Kluyveromyces lactis: one gene and its partner. Each later gene encodes a partner of the first gene's protein in a complex. Links are inferred from orthologs where the notes say so. Each region holds a gene or a part of one and is shown on either strand. Other genes may lie near its edges.

Region 1 (3,276 bases):
CGATTCCGATGCTATATCAAAACTTGAAAGTAAAACAATGCCGATAAAAAAACAGGAACCGGAAACACGCTTGACAAAAATACAGTTCTTGATCCTTGATTCCAAGCCTGCCTAGAATCTTATTATTGAGTTTGATACTGATATTCTCAATGTAACCACACCAGTTGGATCAGGTATAAATCCTATGTTTATGCGTGACTATTTAAAAGAACTTAAGCTTTTAAAATTTAAAATCTAAAATCCTTAAATCCCGAAAAAGAACTGATCTTATGATGTGATAAATTCAAACACATACACAAACCTAAACGCAAGCAAAGCCTGCTAAGAAATGTGGTTTATACTTAGAAAGAAATCTGTAATTGGAATTACAATATATCTTTAAACGAACAAAAACCATGCGATGAGATGTTGCTGTTCCGTGTGCTCTCGAGCGATAGAAAGAAATTTTTCATTACGCTTTAAGGGAAATGGGAAAAAGTACGGTCACGTGAAACAAAGACACAGAGAGGGAACGCCCTGTTCTAACATCAGACACAGGGTTGGTGGTACCAAGGGCCCCACCAATATCTGTTTAACCATTAAATATGCAAAACTGATATATTTCGATCCAATCCTGACATACTCTAAATCATTTCAAATGTCAAACGATGTGACAAACCGCTGCAAGATTATGGTTCAATCTTATACAGGATTTGCTTCCACCCCGGATGAATGCAATTATACGCGTACATAAGTTCTGTACCCCCTTTGCTACCGACCTTAAATTGCTTCGCAGTTTGGCTATCTTGTCTTATTATCCCCTTTCAAGTTGGAGAATTGCTCAATCCATTAGGTACTGAAATTGTTCAACAATCGTAGTAGCTTTTTTTTTTTGGTCACTCACTATTCTCCATCTGCTGAAACAAATTTGAACCTGAACATTGAGTGGAACGAACTTGACGAGAACAGAAGAATGGTAGCAGTCTCCCTTTAATTGCTGCATACTTAACTTACGTTGATATCTTTGACCAAATATATCTATATATACCGAGATCTACAGCGTCTTATAATATCCTGGCGGGTTATCAACATCATCTATTATACCCATTTTTACCATAGCATTCCATAATGTTGAGGCATTCCTATTGTAGAGCACAGCAACAGTCATTGAGACACGTTTTGAAGACCAGATTGGCTGTTAATCAATTAAGATTTATGTCTGAAGTTAAGTTTAGAGTCGATTCCACTGCCAGAGTGGTCACTTTGGATAGACCAAAGAAATTGAACGCATTGGATGTTGAGATGTGCAGTGCCATCTTGCCCACATTGCAAGAATATGCCAAGAGTACCGTTAACAATGTTGTTATCTTGAACTCTTCAGCTAGTCCTAGGGCCTTCTGTTCAGGTGGCGATGTAGCTCAAGTAGCCAAGTTGGTTAAGGAAGGAAATTTTGATTACGCTAGAGAATTTTTCACCAAGGAATACTCGTTAAACTTGGCTCTAGCTACGCTGAACAAGCCGGTCATCTCTATCATGGACGGTATCACCATGGGTGGTGGTGTCGGTCTATCTACTCATATTCCATTCCGTATTGCTACTGAAAATACTCGTTGGGCCATGCCTGAGATGGATATTGGATTCTTCCCAGATGTCGGTGCCACTTTCTCTATTCCAAAGCTTACCACTGTTGGTGGTTCCAACGGACAATTGGCTCAGTACTTGTGCATGACTGGTGACATTTTGAATGGTGCCGATGCTTACGTGGCTGGTGTCGCTTCTCATTATGTGCCACATGATCAGATCTCCAACTTACAGGCAAGATTGGCTGAGTTACATTTGACTGAAGCCACTTCTCAATCGACTAACCGTGATGATGAAATTTTCGATGTTGTCAACCATGCTATTGAGGAATTCAACGCACCATTACCAAGAGACTACAAGTTCAAGTACACTGCTGATGAACTAAACGTCATTGAACAGTGTTTCGATATCGGTAACAGTTTGAAGCAAATCTACTCCAAATTGGATGAGGTCATTGCTGGAAAGACAGTATCACAAACAGCTCAGGAGTTTGCTGCAAAGACCAAGCAAATGCTAGCTAGCAAATCCCCTGTTTCTTTGGAAATCGCAAAAGAACTTTTCCAAAGAAACTCCTTCACTGACATTCAAACCGCCTTGACCCAAGATTTGATCACTGCTACTAAAATGTCAGAATCTCCGGACCTATGTGAATTTGCTGAGGCCACTAGTCATAAATTGCTAGAAAAGAACAAGACCCCATACCAATGGAAGATCAAAGATTTGAAATTAGCCCAAATATCAGTTCTAATCTCACAAAACTCCTCAAACCCGGTGTCGTTGATCCGCCCATCAAATTTAGTTACTTTCTCTGAATACCCACATCATAGCAAGTACCAATTACCAAACGAAACTCTAGTTGAGAAATATATCACAGGTGCTGACAACCATGGAAGACAAACTGCAGTTACTAAGAAGGAAGCTGTCAAATTCTTCCAACAATTGAACCCCGCCACGAAGAGTAAGACCGGCGTAGACTACTTGGTAGGTTTTATTATTGACAGAAAATGTGTTCCAAACCCAGATGGTTTCTTAAGATGGAAAACTTCCTCTGCTAAACTATAAAAACTATACATTTCGATTATATAGTACATCGAACACTTGTAAATACACTTACGATTAACCTACACGCAATAAATTTCATTATCCTCTCTTAGAATGGCATTGTTCTTCGGCAGTACATAAGGGTGCCATAAGTTAAATACAGCTCTAATTGATGCGTTCTACTTTAAAACTCGTTCATCTACCTAATTCTTTGTTATATTTTCCATAATTACGGCATGGTTTAAAATTTGAAATTACTGGAGTTTGATCCTTTAAAATGAGTGTGCAAGAAATAGAACATCAATATATAAGAACAAAGCTCCACAACGCATCATATCTGCCTTCAAATTAAAGATGTCTGGTTCTGATATCCTTGATATCAATGTACCCAGGGTCATTGATACAGATGACTGTGTTTATTGTTTTGAAACGATGAAGAATAAAGATGAGGGTCGTGAACATTCATTATTCATCTGTCTACGCTGCTTTCAGTCTTTCTCCGAAGAGCATTGGGAACTACATCAAGAGGTTGTTTTGAGTGAGACTGGTTCTACCCATGATCTGTATCTCAGAGTATTCAAGGTTCTAAAACCAAAACAAGAGCGAGAAGAAGCTGGCACGCCACCATTGGAAAAGAAATTAAAGCTTGAGGTTAAGGATGTGAATGAGGATGAT
Region 2 (3,112 bases), on another chromosome or scaffold:
CATCTGTATGTGCATTATCTTGGTCATCATTTTCTGCTATCTCGCCTATAGAGATGTCGTCACTTGCATCCTCTTCCACCTCTTCTGCTTCCATTTCGTCGACGTCACTGTCGTTGTCTTCGTCTTCTTCATCTTCTTCTTCATCTTCGTGATCCTCATAGTCCTCATCTTCGAATTCTTCATCCATTTCCTCGTATTCCTCGATGAGCACATCGCCATGGTTATCATATCCACGACCGATGTCATGATCTGTACCATCTTCATTGTCGTCGTCGAAGTCATCATAACCAAAATTTACAGCCACTATAGTTTCAATCTTCGAAATAAACGCCTGCAAAGACTTCTCATCTTCTTTATTCGTGCGGATCCACTCAATAGGTATCAGAGAAACATCTTCCATTGGGTTTGTGTTTGGACACTCTTTGCCCAGCCTGGGTGTCCAATCAGTATTCACCAAGCAACATTTCTCCATGGCCGACACAAACTTTTGCAAACTGTGCACAGGGAAATATTGTAATGGATGGTAAGATAATTCGCATATCCGTTGAATCGTGAACGGATACTTATCTCTTTTTGCAAATTTCACAACAAGGTACCTCGATAGCTCTTTCAATCTGTGTAAAAGGTCTTCCTCTTGGTCCTCGTTATAATTGAAGATCTCCTTCGGTATCGTTATGCTGAAATGTTCAGATAGCTGTGGGATCAATTGCGAAGGCGATATTTCGTTAAACGCGCTTAGATCTTTATCGATAACTATTTTAGTCAAACGGTCGTATAGATGTCTGGATTTTATTCCCATCATATTGACAATGTATCTGATTAATGAGCTGATAGTAGGAAAGGCTGGCAAAAAAAAAAAAATTCTACGGTATAGTAATATTACACTTGGTTAGATCTCCTTGAAATGGCACTAACGAAAGATCGGTGTTCTCGGGGTATTCTAATTAGCACAAATAAGTCCAGTATGAGCGATGCCTTTTTTATTCCAAACTGGCAGATATAGAATAGATAAAAAGGATAGTCTCGGAAAATAATATGAAACAACGGACTTGTAACACCTAGTCCCAATAGACAGTACACGGTTAGCCAATCCCAGCTCAGCCAGCAGCCTTATAAAGTTCGTTCTCTAGTCTGTTGATTGACCGTTCTATCTTTGTAGCTTAGAAACCTACATGTTATTTGAACAAATTTCTTTTATTTATCATTTCACATAATATTGTGCGCATATAACAAATTTCACCAACTTTTCACGTAACGAAATGTGATATTATTTAAAGGATTTCACTTAAGAACGGCAGGAATTTTAACACTTAAGTACGGAAGTTCTAAAGATACTATAGTTACATACCTGAATACAAAATAGATCAACGACATCTTTACTATAATATTAAAGGCTAAGGTGTCTAATAAGGTACAGTCTATATAATATCATTAATTATTCTTGGCAAGCTTGTGCTCAATGCACTGACAGGCAAAACTACCAACGGCACATAGAAACAGATCATTAGTAGTCACGTGTATTTATGCGGGTAACACTGTTCACACTGGCTCATCTCTGAACCTTTGATCAAAAAAATTTACGATTTTCAAACCAAATTCAATATCATCATATTCTGGTGAAGTAAGCTTGAATTTGGATCTAATGAGAGTTACTCTTAGATTGAATAGGTTCTGGTTGTATTGTGTGTGTCCTTGTGTGGTCCTTGTGTACACTGGCATCTATTCAACGGAAATTGTACAGTATGTTGAGAGCAGGAAGGTTTAGTCTGAGTCACGTCCATGCTAACGTTTTGGCAAGAAGTCCACTTGTACATGCTGCCAGTATACCGACCATGCAAACCAGATTCCAAAGTCAATCTGTGAATAATAATGCGTCTACAGGGGAGAAATTAGCTAGCCTTAGCGACGAACAGGTTGATGAATGGTTGAAAGTTATTGGATCGTTAGAAGAAGAGTTTTCGCAACAAGATTATAACCCAGCTACGTCCCTTGCACCAGGTAACCAATCTAGAATTAATATCTTGGAGAAGGCTATGGAATTGAACAAGCCCAGCTTTGAGCCAAGTCAAGAGCAAATAAATGAATGGGAAACGTTGAAGCAAGTTCCCATTCCAAAAAAACAGGATCCAGTTTTACAGCATGTAACGAATATGATTATGAGACACGGGAAAAGAGAAAGAGCTGAGAAGATTCTTTCAAGAGCGTTATATATTGTGTTCTGTCAAACAAGGAAAGACCCGGTAAAAGTTTTGAAAGAATCCTTGGATGTGTTGGCGCCTCTTATGGTTATCAAGACCTTCAAGACTGGTGTCGCAAAGGCCACTGTGGTTCCAGTTCCATTGAATCAAAGACAAAGGTTTAGATTAGCTTGGAAATGGATTGTGGAAAGTTCTGTGAAGAGATCATCGAGCGATTTCTCAGTAAGACTTGGTGAAGAATTGGTATCTGTCTTCAACGGTAATAGTTCAGGTTTCGAAAAGAGAGACTCTATTCATAAGACTGCTATTGCACACAGAGCTTACATTAACCTAAAATGATCAAAGTTCCAACCTCCACTGTATTTACTTGAATAAACCTGTACATATGTATACGTGAAATATAAATGAACGTTATCGATTTTCATAGTTATGCTGAATTTGTTGCTCTATCTTATATGCAATTCCTAGGCCCAGCAGACTTCCCGAAAAATTGGCCAAAATATCGTTTACATCAAAGGACCTTTTTCCTCGTGAGAGGAACTGTTGTGCAAATTCACTGCTCGTACTGGCACATACGCAGCATACAATAAATGCCAATAGATATTTGTTCATGGAAAAAGGTTCGTACGCAGCCAAATTCCTTGATCGTAGTCTTTTGGGGATGAATGCCGGCAACTGTACGGTATCACATTCAAACATCATGGTAAACAGAACGGTTTCAATGCAAAATACTATGCAATGGGCGAGCTTATCATGAGTTGATGTTATTAGCTTTAACCTGGCATCAGTAGTTAATCCGAGGAAGACAACAAAACATACACTCGAGAAAAATGTTACTGCGTATTTATATCTTATCATTTATCAATTTTCATAAAAACTCTCAATAAGAGTTGCATACACTCTACACAATTTCT

The links.
Region 2: EHD3 (region 1) and RSM7 share a complex: the UniProt entries of both Schizosaccharomyces pombe proteins name them as parts of the mitochondrial small ribosomal subunit. The link is inferred for Kluyveromyces lactis from reciprocal best matches to the Schizosaccharomyces pombe genes snr1 and rsm7.

The regions. Positions count from the first base shown.
Region 1 is NC_006042.1:1,715,783-1,719,058, forward strand, and holds EHD3 (mitochondrial 37S ribosomal protein mS47), read left to right. Parts: upstream 1-1,107; coding exon 1,108-2,622; downstream 2,623-3,276. Other genes in the region: ubiquitin-specific protease UBP14, read left to right, coding at 2,956-3,276. UniProt on the Schizosaccharomyces pombe protein: Component of the mitochondrial ribosome (mitoribosome), a dedicated translation machinery responsible for the synthesis of mitochondrial genome-encoded proteins, including at least some of the essential transmembrane subunits of the mitochondrial respiratory chain.
Region 2 is NC_006041.1:511,743-514,854, forward strand, and holds RSM7 (mitochondrial 37S ribosomal protein uS7m), read left to right. Parts: upstream 1-1,742; coding exon 1,743-2,537; downstream 2,538-3,112. Other genes in the region: PSY4 (Psy4p), read right to left, coding at 1-802; KLLA0_E05765g (uncharacterized protein), read right to left, coding at 2,610-3,056. UniProt on the Schizosaccharomyces pombe protein: Component of the mitochondrial ribosome (mitoribosome), a dedicated translation machinery responsible for the synthesis of mitochondrial genome-encoded proteins, including at least some of the essential transmembrane subunits of the mitochondrial respiratory chain.